2 linked regions of the Lonchura striata genome follow. The protein of the gene in region 2 binds, or shares a complex with, the protein of the main gene of each other region. Links are inferred from orthologs where the notes say so. Each region holds a gene or a part of one and is shown on either strand. Other genes may lie near its edges.

Region 1 (9,224 bases), on a different chromosome or scaffold from region 2:
TGACTGCCTGTAGTGCTTAACTGCTCGTCAGTATCATGCACAAGGACCCTGTGCTTTTATAAATCCTTGTCATGAAAGCCCCTGCACCATCAAATCAGTAGAGTGCCATCCACATCCCCAGCTCAAATTTCTCATAAGTGTGCAAGTAGCCAGTTACTGAACAAGAAACTGAATTACAGTTCAGCTTTAAAGTCCCTGCAATCCAGGAATAAACTGCTTTTCAACCCCTTCTTGTCTCAGATATTAACTGTCCTAATCAGCACACAGGCATTTCTACAGATCTCCAATCTATTTTAGCCATATAAAAAGAATTTTTCAGAGCCAAGTTGTACTTTAATTTCACCAGCATAATCCACCAGTGGATAAGATAAACCAAGATTAAACAAACTGGAAGGGTTTGAAACACTAGTTAAGATTAGCTAAAAATATCACCATGATACATAAACCCAAATAGAAACCTGCTCCATCTCCCAAGGCAGTATCAATTCTGCCATCCCAACAGGTGTAGAAAATAATTCATCTTTGTCATTAAACTCCATGAAAATGCAGAAGGGAGAGGAGAGCTGTTGACAGAGGAGGGGCCATTTGTATATAAATTATTCCACCTGGCTAATCAGATTTAAAGGTGTCAGGGTACAGAGCCATCAAAAGCCAGTCCCTTCACCAGTGATCCTAGAAATGCAATACTGAGAAGTTTGTCCCTATATTTTATGTGCAAAGTACTTCAGGCATCTGCAAAAGGCTTTGAAACTTAGCCCACAGTGAAAGACAAGCCTTCCTGAAAACACAGTTTTAAAGTAGGAAACTAGTTAGACAGTGCTGGGTACAAAGATCGTATTTGTTTTGACTTATTTCCTCAAATCCTTTGAATACCAGTTCAGAGCACATACTCTATAAAACACTCATGAGAAACTGGCACGTTCACTGAGGCACATATTGATGAACTGCTATTTACAACTACTGTCATTTAAGTACCTTTTTATTACAAATGGTAGGATTTGTAATAGCAGACACCACAAGATCCTCAGGCAGCTAAAAGCTGCTGAATAAACAAGTGCAACACGAGTGATTTTTCCCCACTGCTTCCCATTTGAAACGCACAGGCTCAGCCCAGCAAAGTAAATTGCTTGTTTCCTGTCAGCCTTCAACCTCTACATCTCTATTTTCTGGGTGGGAACAGGGAAGGGAATTCGAGGGCAATTTTTTTTGTTATTTGAATAAACAAATGCAGATAAAACAACCATTTCAAATGAACAAGTCCTTCCTAAGCTAATTTTCTTGGAGCCTTTATACAATACAGATTTATTTTCCCCTTTCTATCCCTCCCTCCCCGACCCCTACCATGGGGTCCTCCATGCCACAGGGCAAGTGGAGCCCCAGCGTCTATAATTAATGGCTTTGTCTGAAGGTTGTGGGTTGGCCACAGCATAACAGATACCCACATGCAGGAAAAAAAGCAAATACACTTACCCGAGAGATAGACAGAGGCACATTGAAATCCTTGCCCCCTTGAAGCCTGAAACCCCAGGGAGCCGGCCCGACCAAAGACACGCTGTAGTTGCTCATGATGTTTAGTATTCAAGGACCAAATCCAAAGAACTGATGCCTGCAGAAGAGGATTAGAGTTTTAATTTAAAGGTGATAAAAACAAAAGGCACTGTCCGCAATTTTGGAAACATTCTTTCTTTGGCTATATTCCCCTCCCCCCAAAACAGCCAAAAACCCCACACCAGGTCTGTCATGACTTGTGCTTTTATTCCCTATATGTTGTTTCCCTCCATAGCTTAGGAAGAAACAGAATCTGGAGAACTGCTGCCGCCAAAATATTTGACAACTGCTTTTTACTAGCAAAACACCATGTGGGGCAGCGGTGGTAAAACCATCCAGCATGAAAGACCAGCTTAAAATAAGTCAATATTGAGACAAGCATGAATTGATAGCATCCCTTAAACTGAAGTATGGAAGACATTAGCACTACTAGCACATTCATTTCTAACAAAATTAGTATCATATGCTGCCCTGTCATCAGCTCAAAGCTTATTTCTAAATACAACAACGCCAAAAGCATCACAACTTTGCAGTTAATCAGACGAAAATAAAATCCCTGTGACGTTTTTTATTTTTACAGCATAGCTTCGTAGTGGCAGAACAATATCACAGATGAGTCCGATATTAAAACCAACCCTAAAAATGAAAGCTGTGAACTAAAGCAAAACATCCACAGTTATAATTCAATGCTGAGGAAGCAAAACCCACGCATCTCCCTCTCCAAAAATGTATCCGACAAATTACCTTTAAAAGGCAACAGAGATATTTAAGCGCTGCTCAGCGTCAAAGATAAGGGCTTCAGTTCCACCTTAGATAAGTAATGTTACAATGACATCTTAGGTAGTGGATGCCGTCTATTTTTGTGTAGTTGAAGCCCGGCAGGAGCACACCAGGGCAGGCTGGTGTAAGACTACACCGGGGCACAGCCAGATTCCATACTCATATAGGGACATTTAAGGTGGACCTTCAGGCAAGCAGCAGCAGGCGGCTGCAAACCCCACGGAACTCTGAAAAGCCCAGTTTTGGCTGTTCGCACGCTGCAGGGCGCCACGTTAGTTTCTCAGAGGCGGAGGATTTTTCCAAATGCAGCCCACCCCCGAGGAACATGAGGGAACATGAGAGCAGGGTTGTCGCACAACCCCCATCGATGCAAAGATGTCACCCCCCAAAAAAGTCATCCACAACGCACGTTTTTGGGTTCACCTCCCAAAGCAGCAGAGATCCACTGCTCACACTTTTTTCCTAAATCACACAGTGAGCTTTATTCACACCGACGGCCACTCAGGTAACCAGAGCAGGGCTACTGGCATCAGGCAGCACAAGATATAAATATGTATGTATTAGGAAGCAGAATTTGGAGCTTGTACCAGAGATGCCTGCGTAACTGGGCCATTCCCAACCCACCACTGCCTGCTAGCATCCAGCAAACGGGCAGCTCTGACCCCAGGCGCTGACTCAACCCACCCTTAAAAACCTCGACAAGCATCAATGAACAACAGGGGATGCACACAATATTGAGCTCTCCTGTCGCTAAAGAGGAAGAAAAGTCCCCGCCAAGCTTGAGCTAGGATTCTTAAGAGGCTTCCTCACCACTACAACGAGAACTAAGCTGTTAAATTGTCCTACGCACAGAGTTCTTTTAAAAAGAGGATCTGAATTGGTCACAGATTTCTTCCTGCATAAAAATACACATTCTGTTCACTCCCGCTAAAAGAAATCCACTGCAGTGACAGGTCACTCTAAAATATAAAACTGCAGAAAAGCAAGCCACATCTACTGACCAGCATACAGTGCAGTTGTTTCACACAGGTGAGCAGGCTTTACTTGGCAATTGAAAGCTAAAGCACCTGTGTAGATTTTTTTTTTATTTATTGAAGTTGAGCATCAACTAGTTACTGCTACAGACCCAGGAAAAATAATGGATTCTGTTAGGAATTGATACCATTCTTTTTCATTTGTAGCAACTGGAAATAGGAGGGAAGAAACTGCACTCTGAATTACCGTGCATCACACTCGGCATCACTCATCTTTCTCATCCCTTTAATTCTGGTATATCTGCATCTCTAGCCTGACAGATACACCAGGAAGTAACGGCAAACAAAGAAGACTCGCTCCAAATTTTATTTAACAAATGTCATAATATGGCAAGGCAATAGCTAAAGCAAAACACCGCGAACCATGAAATTCACGTGCGGAGCAAACAAACAAACGTTGTGCAAACAAACCAGCTAAGGGTGAAAATGTGCAACTTTCCTTTAGACGATCAAACGCTTAGTGGACCTGAGTCTGGAAGGGGGAATTTCAAATTCCCGGCCGGAACGGCGGCCCGCACCGCCGCCGCCAGGGCGCTGAGCCGTCGGCCCGCAGCGCCCAGAGGAGCCCTCCCGCCCCCGTACGCCCCGCACCCCGCTCTGCCCACCTCCCCGGGGCGAGGAGCCCCACGGCCAGCGCAGCCTGGGGACCACAACTCCCCGCAGGAGCGCTCGGTCTCGGCTCCAGCCGCTCCAGGGGCGCCCGGCGTGCAGCCCCGCGGGTGCCACAAAGCCCGGGGAGCGGGACGCACCGGAGCCTGTGTCCAAGCAGCCCTACGGGCACGGCTGGGGGCGAGGAGCCCCGCAGGTGTCCCGCAGCCCGGGCGGGAGCTGCCTGCCCTCCTGCCCCGGGCCGCGCCCCCGCCGCACCTCGGCACCCCGGCCGGGCGCTCGGCCACCGCGGCAAGTTGCGCGTCCTGCTTACAGAAGTTAAATGAAACGAAAACAAGCACCGCGGAGCTTTACAAACCGCGCCCAGCCTACTGACTCTTAGCCTGATTCCCCCCCTGGTTATTTTTCTGTTCGCTTTGGCCGCCGCGGCACTCACCCGGCGGCGCGGCTCAGCGCGGAGAGGCGAGGACAGCGCAGCGCGTCTGCGAGGCGGCGGCTCCAGCCCCCGCTCTTGTTTTCACTTCCGTCTCCCGCCGCTCCTCCCCTGGCCCGGCCCGGCCCAGCCCTGCCCGGCCGCGGCGGGACGGGGCTGCGGAGCGGGGCAGAGGCCGGGAAGGCCGCGCGGTGCGCAGGTTTGCTGTGCTGTTTGATTTGTTTTGGTTTGTTTTTAGCAGGGGAGCGCTCACGTTGGCCCCGCTTTGCTTTACGCACACGCAGCTGCGGGCGCACCTGAGAAGCGCGAGGGAAGCGGGAAGGGGCCGCTCCCCTGTGCCCGCCCTGAGGGAAGAGCTGCGGTGCCGGGCAGGGATGGGGGCAGGCTGCGGGGGCAGCCTGAAGCGGAGCAGGACAGCCTACGAAAAGAGGGAGTTTGGCTGATTTAATGTGGAGTAGCGTGAGAAATGACAGGGATGTACCCCCTCCCCCGAGGACATCAAAGTGCGGGAACGGCGGCGAGGCAGAAGAGCTGTTGAGGCTGACAGAAGGCTGGCACAAGAACAAACAGGTGTGGAGTAGCCATGCATAAGTTCAGCTCCGAAATTGGAAGGGATCCGCCAGAAATTAAGGTCTCTGGCACAGCCTCACTGGAGGAGTGCATCCATTAAACGAACCAGGTTCTAAGGTGATGCTTGATCAGATTGTTACAGGACTGATTCTTTAACACGAGGAGTATCCAGCTGGGAATCCATGGAGCGGGGCAGGCTGGCTGGGACAGCACTGCCAGCGCCAGCCAGCGCCAGCCACTGCCGCTGCCTTGGGAGAGGCAGGTATAGGGCAAAGATGAAACAGTGGCACTTGGGAGTCACATCCAGCTGCACCTCACAGCTTGGGGAGGCTTGAGGTTCCTGCCAAACTTCATGTGCGACAAGAAGTCATTACAAGTAAAAATGTCTGTGAAAGAAATGTGCATCTAGTTAACAGTATCATTGTCAGTACGATTCAAACGATTTCAGCACCCTCCTCAAACTGTGGAGAAAGAATGCAGAAGAAAGCTTTAAATTCTTATTACCATCCAACACAACACACAGTCCTCATAATAGACAGCCCTGCCTCACCCCTCTGGCCTAGGGCACTGTCCCTTAGTTTTATTGTTATTTGCACAGCCTTGAGTGTGATTTTGGCCCTACTCTGCCCATTGCTCCCACAGGCTACCCCAACCAGGAGCCCTCAGACTGGAGCTGATGCTGGGTTAGAAGACCTGTGCTCTAGGTGCTTGGGTGTGCATGAAACCAGGGCCTGTCTAATCCTCTGAGCCCTGGCTCAGCAAACCTTAACAAGGGTATTTTAACAGTGTCCCACTGAGCTGTGTGTCTTTAAGTAGGACAAACGCACCTCAAACAGCATCTCAAAAGAAAAGCATCTAAACCTCCCACTACTGCAGCCAAACCACTGTTTCAGAAATTTTCCTTCCTTAGTCTGCTCTTTTTCTATTAAGTCTCTCCAGTTGGGCAAAACTAAAAATCCCTGTTACGCAAATAGACTCTCACATGATTTTAATTCATGGAGGTAAAAATTACCCAACACAGGGATTTTTCATTGTGTCACAAGGGCTGTAGGTCACTCTCAAGCTGTTCTATTAATTAGAGTAGAAAAAGCTGCAGGACCCCACGTCCCGGTGTGACTCATGTGATACCTCCAGTGTCAGCATGTCCCTGTGCTGACTGCCTGGGTAGCAATCTGCTCTCAGCTCACCAGGGCACACAGCCTGTGTCCTGCTTGATTTTGCACTTTGCCATGTTAGTGAAAAACATCCTTTTCCACTTCAGTTCTCTCAAAGCCTTCAGCTTTTCCTGTTGGAGAAGTAGCTTGCATGTGCAGCACTTCAAGACACTATTACATTAATTCATCATGACCGAAGAAGAACGTGCAGAGAGACTTTTGCTGGTTGGTGTTGCAGCAGGTTTCAGCCCCGGCAAGCCTGCATGCAATCTGCTCCATTGCAGCAAGGTCAGTGCCACTCCCAGCTCAAAGCTGGCAGACTCATCTTTAAGTCCGTCATCACTTCGCTGTGGCGAAGATTCACTTCAGTTTGTAACAAATGAATCTGTTTTCCTTTGCCTCCAGACACAGGGCACAGAAATAGAGGCAACACATTAGCTCAAGATCATTCCATTCTTGGTCACTTTTCAAATATTGTCCTCTTTGAGAGAAAGCTTTTCATTAAGATGAATAACGAAATTAGAGATAGTAAATTGAGCAAGAAACCTTGGCAGCAGCTAGAACTGTGGCCTGCCTGTTCTTCCTACCACTACCAGATTTTAGACAGAGCTTGCATTTTCCCCTCAGAACAAGGAAGGAAAGCGTCTGGAAATTAATTAAATACAGTAGTCAGCTAGCCAGGCAGATACAGCCTATCTCAGAATTACTCAGGCACTTAAGTCTCGTTTAAATGCTAATGAAATGCCTTAGGTGCCATGTAATGGGCCCTACAAAACTGACAGAGAATATCACCTGCGGTGGTGAAGTACAAAAAGCTATTTGTAAATTAAAAAGTAGCCCATAAATTATGAACTGATTAACAATGCACAGTCGAATTGTTTTTAATTAAACACCACTTAATGTAATATTACCTTTCTCTGTGCTAAAGCATTGAACTACAAGCTGTGCTTTTACTGCACTGCTTTCACTTTTGCTTTTCTTCCAAAGGTAAAGCTAGTGTAAATATTTACATTCAGTTTATAACTCGTGTTCACCAACATAAAGTAATCCTCTCTCTAAAGAGGTAAATGTGAATATCCCCTACAGCATAACAGCTTATTTGCAGTTCCAAGACAGCTCTGTGGCCAAAAAATACAAGGAATTAGATAATTTCTATGTGTTTCTGAAAAGCAGGGGCTGCAGTCAGCTTTTGACAGGGCAAGCTCTTACATTTTGGTCACAGTGAAGCCCAAATTACCTAGAACTGGTATTGCGGAAGAACTTTTATTTTTCTGTTTGTTTGGTATTTTGTGGTTTTGTTGTTTGTTTTGTTCTGTTTTTCTTTTTCCTGTCCCTGTTTTGGAAAGATAGCCTGTGCTGAATTGCATCCTTCCTCGTGCATCCTGTCTACCGCAGTAAGTCCAGTCAGCCCAAAGACTTCTTTGCACGGGAGGAGCCATGTGGTTGAGCAGGGTCGCTGGCAGGAGGTTCAGAATCCAGCCAGATGGGCAGCTACACCCACCAATTCACCTTGGAACGGTTTTGTCAGCCAAAAAAAAAAAAAAAAAACAAACCGTCACGGTCAAGTTTTCTCTGACTTGTCACCTTTTTTTTCTCACCTCTTAGAGCCTGTTATCCCTCCAGGCGTGCTGACCATCTTCACCACTTGTCATCAGCCCGTTTTCTCACTGAACATGTTTTCTTGTGTTACTTCTGCTGTAGCTGTGTCCTCTCTGACAGCAGTTTGCTCGCCATCTCGTCGATCCAGACAGCTTTTAAACTCACGTTTTTCATCAGATTGAAAAGTTAACAGTGTTGGTCTTCCCACTCTAGCCTTTGAAGCTCTTAATGTTATAAATGGATTTATTTGTATTTTTTATACCCTGATTTATTTTTTATTTTAGCTAATCAAGCCTCCTTTAGTTTTTATTTATTGGTGCTTTTATTTGTAAAGAGAAATTAATATTTACTAATAAGATACTTCTTATTTACAGTCTCTCTAGAATTTTGGTAAATTGCATAAACAGGAAATGTATTTTATTACTGGACTCCTTTGTAGTGACTGAGCAGACTCATTGGAGCCTGATCAGTCCTAGTTCTAAGCTAGGAATATCTGTTTTGTTCCCTCCTCCTCAAGTAAAAGAAGGACCACCTGTGTGGATGTCACAGCCCATGCCACAGGTTAAACATTTCTACTTTGTGTGTCCAAACCAATGAAACAGCAACTAAACCTCTTCATTCCAGGAAACACAATTAACCTTTGCAGAAGCTTAAGGTTATCTTCTTATCACATTAAACACGGCCCATTTTAGGGACTGAAATCAATCAGAAGCTTCTCAGAACATCACAGCCTAAACAGTTTCATGCTTAGCCCTGCTGTGAGGCATTAGCCTCATTTTACAGATGGTCACCAGAGGCAATAAACATTTATACATACAAGGAATCAACTGTCAAAGAATTGAAACCAGTTCTTCCAAATTCTTTTTCAGCTACTAACAACTAACCACTGGATTACTCTACCACAGGCTGACCATGCCCCTTCTACTCTTCAAATGGAGCAATACATGGGAAGAAAAACCGAGAGGGGAAAAAAATCAAACTTCGTATTTACCATTTTTGACAGAGTTATGGGAGTAATGCCTTCAATTATCCCTGTTCTTACCTATTGAAGCAAGCTGCCTGCCCTGATTTCCTTTTCTTTCATGGCAAGGAATGGTTAATGCAGAAACCTGTGGCCTGGTGTGGTTTAATTACAGTCCCTCAGGTGTGCAGGAAGGGTTTGCTGAGTGATGTCTTTGAGCTATGTTTGAGATCCACCACAAATCCCAATTAAGTAGGGTTTGGCAGGTAAACAGCCAAACTTTCAGAGAGATCCTTGCAGGTATTTATATTAATTAATGCTATGGGAGAAGAGGTGCAAGATTGCCTTGGCGAGGGAGAGAGTGGCTGCCAGCTGCAGCACCAAGAGCCTGGCAGGTCAGGAGCAGCTGGGCACAGGGGTTTGGACAGGGGGCACAGCAGGGGAGCAGGCAGCTCCCCTGCTTTATTTCTACCAGCACCACTCACTCACTAAAGCACAGGCTTTTTATAGGGTCTGTTCTGCTGCTCAGCCTGGAC
Region 2 (9,246 bases):
TCTAAAGGAACAGCCTCACCACGTTCGCTGAGCTCCAAATTCTGGCACTAATGAAGTAATTCACCCAGAGAGGGTCAGATTTTGGGCCTTTGGGGATTAAGCTGGTGTTTTTAGGAGGTTCACAAGGGAAGAGCTCATTTTCATACCTGAGCACTGGCAGTCTGCTAGCAGCAGCCCCTGAAAATGGGGTTATTTAAGGGTTGCACAAGTGCTGTGGGAGTGTGTTGGATGCTGTAGCTCAGTCAGTGTTGTCTCCATAGCAGCAGTACCCGAAGGTAGGGTGGAGGCTGAAAACCAGCCCTTGCTTTTCCAAAGCACTGAGCTCTGCGTGCTTGGGAGAGGGTGAAGAATTCTCTCATTGCATGTATCAATATCACAGTAGTCCCAAAGTGAGCTGCAGTTGCTGGGGCTCGCTGCAGACATCCAGGGGCACTTCTGACCCTTAGAGCAAGGGTGTGTCCTTACCTGCTGTTCAGCACTGTGGAAGGTGAAACCGCCACAAGTCTGAGGTGTTTTGGGAAGAGGTGTTTTGGGGAAGAGCTTAGGAAGAGGCAGCCTGGAGCTGTTGATCTATGATTGGAGTAGAGCCCTTTTAACACAAAGAGAGGAAGGAAGATGAAACACTCCCAGACCTAGGTGAGCAGTGCTTATTTGAGTGGGAAAACCGAACTGTTCCAACTCACATAAGAAACTGGAGTGTTCTTAATTCTTCATAGCCATTAGAAACACTGCTTGTGCACTCAGCATTATCAGGGGAATGCGCAGCACTCTCCCTTTTAGCAATCCAGGCATTTAGAACCCTGAGCACAGCATACCAGCACTGCTATGCAACTCAAAGGCTCTCTGGGTAGATTATATAAACACAAATGTCACACAAGGCCAAGAAGGAACTGAGAAGCAGAACTGATTAGAGAAAATTCCTGTAACCTAAGATGCCTTTAAAGCAAGAGACCACTTGGACACACACGGGAGCCCACCTGCCTGAGACAATGAGCTGTAAGGGGAGACAGCGATGAGCACTGCGGGGATGAGACAGCCGGGAGTCAAATTCCCCTTCCAAGAGTGCTTCAATCACCGGGTACCCAGGGTGGGGATGCTCGTGTTCTGCAGGTGGGCACACAGGAGGGGATCCCAGCTGCTCTCACAGCTCCTCACGCTGACAGCTCTAGCAGCATCTCGGCTGATAGAGCTGCGGGGGGCTCTCCACACTGCTGTCCCCCAGCATATGCTGTGCTGACACTGCCTCAGAGATACCCACCCACTCTGCCTTTCTCCCACAGAGAAACTGAAGGCTGCACTTGGCCACGGGCCCAGTCTGCTGTTTTCTTTTATTCACTAAAGCTATAAACAGCAGGGAATGAAAACAGTCCGGGGCCATCGGTGGTCTGATGGCTTCGCTGGCTGCCTGTGACCGTGAATCCATCCAAAGGGGAACAGGAGTCAGCAAAAACCTCCAGAGAGGGAGGGGGCTTAAGGAATGCTTACTTTCATTAGTTCTGAAGAGGAAATGAGTAGCTTTCACTTTTTTCTTCTTAATTAGTATCTGCCTCCATCTAGTTTAATCTTACTTAGTTGCTCTGTAATTTGGCCATAACCCAGCTCTAGGGGATGGAAACAGAGCTATGACTGCCCAGCTCAGGATGACTTTTCCTGACCCTGCTCTGAAACAGAAGTGAGCAAAGGGTGTGGGCAGACCCAGGTGAGGCAGCTTGGGGCAGGAGGAGCCCCAACAGGATCCTGACACTGGAAACACAGCTGATAAATCCCTTCTCCGGGAGAACCTAGCCTGCAAACTTCCCTTAGGGTGACAGCAGCTGCTTGAAGGGACAGAGAGGAGCTGTGGTGCAGTCATGCTCCCTGAGAAACACAGCTCTTTCCCACCCAGTGCTCCATCCCTGGCTGTGCACAGGGTCAATCCAGGCCGCTGCATCCCACATGCGAGAGCCTGCAGAGCTCAATCAGCTCCTTTATTTCTGGGTGTGCCACTTCTGTGGATGGAAGATTGGCTTCCAGCCACAGGAAGCAAGAGCCATTGCTGGAGCCAGTGAGGATTCCTGCAGGGACAAACAGGAGCACCAAGGAGGTGGAAGTTTTTAAGCATGTGAAATACAGATCTGACTTCTGGAGTATTTTTGTTCCTCTGCACAACTCTGGACCCAGTAAAGCCCAGCTGCATGACACTGTGCTTGAGAACTGATGTTTTCTTGGAGGTGATGAAGATCAGTGATGATTTTTCTCATTATGCTAATAGTGTTTGGGGGCCACTACTGTGGGCTTGGAAAGAAATCCTGGAACTCCAGAAAATCACAGGCAGGGAGATGGATAGAACAGCGGATCTTTTATTTGCTGGTGAGAAGCTTAACAGAGTTTTTTGCAGTAAATGTATAATTAAAGAGACAGAATTGTGGAATGCATTGCATTGGGAGGGACCTTAAAGCTCATCTTGTTCCAGGCTCCATGAGCAGGGACACCTTCCACTGTCCCAGGGTGCTCCAAGCCCTGTCCAGCCTGGCCTGGGACACTTGCAGGGATCCAGGGGCAGCCACAGCTTCTCTGGGCACCCTGGGCCAGGGCCTCATCCCCCTCACAGGGCACAATTCCTTTCTTGTATCTAATCTGAATATCTCTCCCTTACTTTGAAACAGTTACCCCTATCACTGTGTAAAAAAGGCTCTCCCAACATCCTCATCAAGATAAACACTGCCGTGTGATTAAGACTACATTATTATGCGGTGAAGTCAGGAAAATGTGACCACGGCTGTTTCCCCTGGCCAGTTTAGTGGCAGCAAGCACAGGAAGCTGTGCCAGCGCTGCTCTCCGTCGTTGCTGCTCCCGGAGCTCTCCAGAAGGGGCCAGTGTGCCCTCGCCTTTCGGGGCCGCAGGAAACCTGCCCAGGCCTGTGTTTTTATTTAGAAAATGCTGAGCTGGCTGGAAAGTTGATGAAGAGGGATGCAGCTGTATTAATGTGCTTCTTCCTGGGGATTTGAATGCATTTTCTGAGCGGTGCAGGAGAACCAGGGATCAGGGAGACAATGTGCAGGGAAGCAGCTCTGCTGACCACACTCGGATATTTTAAACCTTGTGTCATGGGATTTCAGCAGCTTAAAATTTGTTTTTTAGGACTGAGTGCATTAGTCAGAGGCTCCTGCCTGCAGCAGGACAAGGCTGGGAGCACTTTGGAGTCACTCTGACACGGGAGGAGCGCCAGGCCCTATCTGTGCTGTGGCCACAGATCAGCTTTTCCACTTGGAGCTTTCAGGCTCAGCTCCCTCTGATCCCCGTGAAGGTCACAGGGATTGCAGCAGTGCGGTGAGCCTTGTGTCTCCTGGAATAAAGAACATCCTCAGCGTCTGCAGCCTGCTGCTGCCCAGAGCGGTCATGGGTGGGGTTTGTGTGCCCGTGGGCTGACAGCCGTGCGTGGGGCTGACACTGCCTGCACTGCACTGCAGGTACGGTTAAAAAAAGCTCGGCAGTGCATCTGCAGCTCTCTGCATGCTTTTATCTTCTTTAGCTGGAAATGAGTAATTTCCCTGTGCTCTACAGAGATGCCCAATTTCCTTGGAAATTGTTCAGTTCTGCAGAGTCCCCAGAAATCCCCAGTGATGGGACCCACATTTTGCACTGGGTGTTTTACCAGTCTTGAGAGATGCCTGGGGATTTTCACAAGTCAGAGAAATTAAAAAAAAATTAAAAATAATGGATCGAAGCACCTGAGACTTTACTCGGTTCATATTTATTCCGAAGGGCACGTGAACCTTCTGTACTGAGCACGTCATCGTGCAAAGCCCTAATGTGGGCCGTGGCTCCTCACGGACAGGATTTCTGCACTCATCCCTCGCGGCGAGGAGGACGCAGAGCCCCCGGGCCCCGTCCGCTGTTCCTGTGGGGGCCTCCGGTACCGACCGGTCTGAGGGGCGACCGCGGCCCGGCCGCTCCGCCACAGCCCCTCACGGCCCCGGCCGGTCTGAGGGGCGACCCCGGCCCGGCCGCTCCGCCACAGCCCCTCACAGCCCCGGCCGGTCTGAGGAACGACCCCAGCCCGGCCGCTCCGCCACAGCCCCTCACGGCCCCGGCCGGTCTGAGGAACGACCCCGGCCCGGCCGCTCCGCCACAGCCCCTCACGGCCCCGGCCGGTCTGAGGAGCGACCGCGGCCCGGCCGCTCCGCCACAGCCCCTCACGGCCCCGCCGCGCGGCATGCCGGGACTTGTAGTCCCCGCCGCCCCCAGGGCCCCCCCTCCGCCTGGCACGGCGAACTACCGCCCCCAGCATGCCGCGCGCGGCGCCGCCAGCCCGCCGGGCCCCCGCTCCCCCGCCCGCCGCACCGTGGGGCGGGGGGCGCTCCGAGGCCCGCGGGACGGGACGCTGTGGACGCGATATCCCGGGACAGGGAGGAACGCAACGGGACGGGACGGGACGGCCCGGGGCGGCGGGGCCGGGCCCCGCAGCTGGCGGAGGCGCGGGGGCGGTGCTCCCGGCGGCAGCCGGCACTTCCTGTGACGGCCCATTTCCTGGTCGGATGGGGCCGGCGGGGGGCGGCGGCGGCGGGGTCGGTCCCTGTCCGTGTCCCTGACGGGCTCGGTGGTCGCCGGTGACGCCGCCAGGCAGCGATGCGGGCCCCGGGCGCTGCCGGCAGCCGGCCCCCGCCGTGAGCCGGTGGGGCTGCGCAGGCCGGCCCCGCGGGGCGCATGGAGGCACCCGCCGCGCTCTGCGAGGTACCGGGCAGGGTCGCGCGGTCGGGGCTCGCGGAGCGGCCCGCGGCGGTGACTCGCCAGCCCGTTATCCCCGCTGCTTCCGCAGGTGTGAGTCCCCGCGGGACAGCGCGGCTCGGCCCCGCCGGGCCAGCGGCCCCGGGCCCCGCTCAGCGGCCGCGGCAGAGCCAGGAGGGGTCGGCACCGACACCGGCGTCGCGGCGGCCGCCGCCTCCTGAGACATGAAGAAGTTCTTCGACTCGCGCCGGGAGCAGGGCGGCTCCGGGCCCGGCTCGGGCACCAGCGGCGGCGGCGGCGGCAGCAGCGGCCCGGGCAGCGGCTACATCGGCCGGGTCTTCAGCATCGGCCGGCACCAGGTCACGGTGGACGAGGTGCTGGCGGAAGGTAAGGTCCCGGTGCCGTTCTGAGCGCTGCTTTTGCCTCCCCGAGCTGAAAGGGAGGCCTCGAGCTGTCCCGGGCACCCAGCCTCCTCCCTGACCCCCGGATTCCTGAGTATTTCACCGTCCTTGGCAGAATTGCAGTCCAGTGGTGTCTGTAAGCTGACGTGTCTGATCTTCCCATCTGTAAGTCCAGTGTGGGTTTCCTGGATTTGGTTTTTTTTTTGTTTTTGTTTTTGTTTTTTTTTTTTTAATGCTTCAGAAATTGGAGGAATGTTGTTAGAAGTTGTTTCTCACTTCTTCTAAACTGGGAGTTAAAAAAAACAAAATAAACAAACACCCAAACCAAAATTGTCAAATATTTTGGTGCAGAACAAGGTGCTGTAAATAAAAAAAGTGGTGTCCTTCACTCTTAAACTTTCTTCAGCTGTTACCTCCTTTCCTATCTCAAGCTGAGAGGATTAAAACACTGGAGTAAATTCCTTGTAGCTATGTTATGTACATAGGCTGGCTGTGACCTGGGATGAGGGATTTCTCTGTGTGTGGGATGTCTGCAAGGGGAAGTGGTGATCCCAATTGCCTTTTTTTTTTTTTTTTTTTTTTTTTATAATTTTATTTATTTATTTTGTTTTCCCCAAATAAAACAGACACCTAAAAATGAATCCTAGGGGTTATGGAACTCATGATGTGTGCAGGCCTTGCAGTGCAGCAAGCTGCTGGTGGCATTTGTTTAATTGTAACCAGCCCTGCTGCTTGAACTATCATTTTACATTTCATTTGTTGGGGCTGTAAGGAACCTCCTGCATGGCTCTGCCTGGTAACCTTAGCCTCGACCTTCAGAGAGATGTTGGCCTCTTCAGACCTGCTCCTGGTGCCTCCTGCACAGCATCCTGGGCAGATTTAGTCCAAACAGTGTTTTGTTTTGATGGCGAAGGAGAGGAGAGCTGCTGGGAGAGAGCTGAGTGGGAGGACCTGTGTTGGCTTTTACAGAAAGAGCCCTAAAATGGAAAAGGGACTCTGTGTACGCTGCCTGTGTTCAGATTTGTAAGAATTCACCGCGGTGTACAAGAAAATAGGTCTGTGGCTGTTTTTTTAGACTTGGTTTCTGATGTGTTCTGCTGAGAGGAGAACCAAAACCAGGCTTTTACCTAGCAGCTATAGTGATTTTTTTTCCTTTGAAATTTGCAATACAGGTTTGCCTGGACTGATACTTGCGAGGCCCTTTTGGCCCTGGAAGCTTAGGATCTACATGAGCTAAACTTGAGAAGCTGTCAGTCTCTTTTTAATGCAGGATGGCCTCATCCTGGTAACATGGGAAGGCAGAGGCTTTTTTTGCTGATGAGTAATGTGCTGGCAGGTTCTGCCCCGGGAAGCGAAGCCGTGTGTCACCGGGCTCTCCTGCTGCAGCAGAGGTGGAGGTGGGAGCACGAATTGCCTGAGAGAAGAGCCTCCCTTCTCTGCCTCCCTGTCCTGGGGGGAGCTGCTGCTTGTGGGGGCTTTTCCCTGCATCTCCTGCTTCCTGGGCTGGCTGTGGGATGGAGCACGGCCTGCAGCTCTGGGCTGCTCACAGCAGGCTAGCACACCTGTGAAGCAGGGGCTGTGTTTGTTCTGTGAGGCAGAGGGAGTTCTGGTGAAAGGTGCTGCCCAGGTATCTCCCTCCCAGCGAGACTTTGCTGTGGGCGGTGTGAAATCCTTCTGTGTGCAGAGGGGACACGAGCAAGGCGGTGTGTCGGTTTGCAGCTCGTCACCTTTTGTTGGGAACAGTGACAATGCCATTTCCTCTGTAGGAAAGTTGGGCCAGCTGGGGAGCAGCGTGGGTCAGGAGTGCTGCAGCTCTGCATGCCTGAGTGTGGCTGAGTGTGCTGGTAAACAGCCTTTTCTAAACCCTGACTCAGCTGGAGACCTGGGGAGCTCGTGGGCAGCCCGGTCCCCACGCTCCTGACGTCTGAAACCTCGGCTGGAAAACCTCTCTGTATCTGCAGTGGTTCCAGCAGTGCTGAAGAGGCAACTCCTGGCTATTTCTGCTAAAAGGAAAAGTCCCCTGGGAAGCACTTTGTAGGAGGAGTATCCTGTCTGGGAAGGAAGGACCTGTCATCCCCGTTGCTTTAGGAGGGAGGGGGGAGGCCTGTGTTTAGGTGCAGCCTGTGAAACATGAAAAAAAAAAAGAGATGTAAAAGTGGCTTAAAGAGAGAACTGATGCAGTGATGAATGGTGCGGAGGAGACTTGAGTTGAACCAGAAGTTTTGGAATTGAAACATTGTGATTTGCTCTCAGAGCTGTGCCTGGTCACCCTGAATTCTGCTGAGCAACCCTGCTGGTGAGGAGTGTGCCCTGGCTGCAGCACTGCCTGTGCCAAGTGGCAAATGGCTCCAAATACCTCTGGGCTCTTGTGTGGATCTCCCAAATTACCTGTTCTGGTTAGGAGCACCCCTCACCCCTAAAAATAGTTCTGTCTGGATGCTTGCCTGCCTTGGCAGGGAGGAACATCCTTTCCTTTTTAGAAGGAAGTAGATGGGAATAATGTAGAAGGAATTTGAGGGGTTGGTTGTGGCGTCAGGATACGGTGAATCAGTGGGTTTTTTACAGTGTGTTGCAATAGGTTGTACCTAGTTGGGTCTTTGTAACTCTCCTGCTCTAATCTATATAATAGCACAAATAAGCTCTTGAAAAATTCCCCTCAGAGTTTGCAGAAGGATTATCTGTGGTGGGAGGGCAGTGCTGTTGGTCCTGGGGGTCTGCAGGGTCAGATTTGAAGTCACACAGTGCCCCAGTATGGGTTTAGGGGCATTGTGGCTGGTTTTGGGGTGAGTGGTGTTTCACAGAGCTGAATGCAATCCCCAGGAGCTCTTGCAGTGTGGGGCTGAGTCAGGCTGCTGTCTTGCTGTTTTCTTTCTGAAAATAAACCAAAACTGCGTTGTACCAAATCAGATCCTGCTCTTTGTTTCTGCCTGTGTGTAGGGGGAAGACCCTACACAAACAAAATAAACACAAACCCTACACAAACAACAAAACCTCACCCCAGAGCCCCATGCTGGAGCTCTTGGGAGTTTGGTGTCCCTCTGATAGAGAACAAAACAGCAGAAACATTGAGAAGGATGTTGCCATAAATGAGGGATTTGCTAAGGAGTTTGGGAGAGGTGTGTGGCAAAGTACCACAAGGCACGGGTACTCCTCCGAGCTAAAACAGGTTGGAGATTGCCCCAGTGTCCCATTTCTGAGGGCCGCTGTGCTTTGTGTGACTCTGTACTCCCAGTGTTGTCAGAGAGTGCTGAGCTGACCCGAGGTGTGTAAACATTGATGGGGCACGTGCTTGAACAGGGTTTTGTCTTGCTCTGCTTCTAGCAGAAAGTACAGGCTGTGTTCCTGCAGGTCTGTGAAAAGCTACTTTTAAAATGAGTTGTACTTTTTTGAAAGTCTTTTCCCCTTCAAGTGTGTAAGTAAGGGATTCAGGTTTAATGATTGTTGGCTGTCTCACTTAAGTTTTTCTGGTATGTGCCTGTGTGCTGTAGCTAGTGTTGATTTGAAAGCATTTAATGGTTGGTATTACAAACCAGTGCAAAGTCACAAAATCATCTTACATTTGCCAGCTGTATTTTTCCTCTGTTTTGAAAAGAGGGACACTGTGGGCTTCATCCTGAATTTCCTTAGCAGACCTGCAGGCCAGTGCATGTGGGGAGCAGCTGGGGGAGGCTGTGAATGCCCAGCCTGGTGGGGTGGGGTGCCCTGAGCTGCCCAGGGCTGTGGCTGGCCTGAGTGCAGAGGGTTTCTGCTGACCCCTGCCCTGCTCACCCTTGGCACCTCCCTTCCCTGCAGCACCAGAACCTGAAGTCACTGAAAACACACGTGAGCTTCTTCTGAAATAATTTCACTTTAAAGCAAACCCCATCTGAGGCACATTTTGCAGATTTATGTGATCCTCAACTCAATTCCAGTGTGGCTGGGTTCAATACACTGCTTTGAAGTGTATTTTGCGAGTTACTGCTTTCTAGTTTCAGCCAAGGGCCAGCTGCTAATCAGCTGACCAGTGACATTTGGATTAGGAATTAAACTGTTTCTCCTCTTGGAGTGGAACATGTGATTTTTTTCTTTTTATTTTTTCCCTGTTTCTTGTGAGGCAGAACATGTATGTACTCTGCACTCTGCTCTGCCAGGTAGGATG

What was found.
Region 1: the proteins of AAK1 (region 2) and PDLIM5 are in contact, whole or in part, in a crystal structure (PDB 9F6S), measured with the Homo sapiens proteins. The link is inferred for Lonchura striata from reciprocal best matches to the Homo sapiens genes AAK1 and PDLIM5. Residues at the interface, in NP_055726.4 of Homo sapiens: Asp956, Leu958, Ile959, Asp960, Leu961; in NP_006448.5 of Homo sapiens: Ala12, Pro13, Trp14, Gly15, Phe16, Arg17, Leu18, Phe24, Gln67, Ile70, Lys71.

Annotation. Positions count from the first base shown.
Region 1 is NC_134606.1:51,583,727-51,592,950, forward strand, and holds the start of PDLIM5 (PDZ and LIM domain protein 5), read right to left. Parts: upstream 4,535-9,224; 5' UTR 4,408-4,534; intron 2,523-4,407; exon of another isoform or gene 2,293-2,522; intron 1,607-2,292; 5' UTR 1,567-1,606; coding exon 1,471-1,566; intron 1-1,470. UniProt on the Homo sapiens protein: May play an important role in the heart development by scaffolding PKC to the Z-disk region. May play a role in the regulation of cardiomyocyte expansion. Isoforms lacking the LIM domains may negatively modulate the scaffolding activity of isoform 1.
Region 2 is NC_134634.1:247,031-256,276, reverse strand, and holds the start of AAK1 (AP2-associated protein kinase 1), read left to right. Parts: upstream 1-4,916; 5' UTR 4,917-4,931; coding exon 4,932-5,094; intron 5,095-9,246.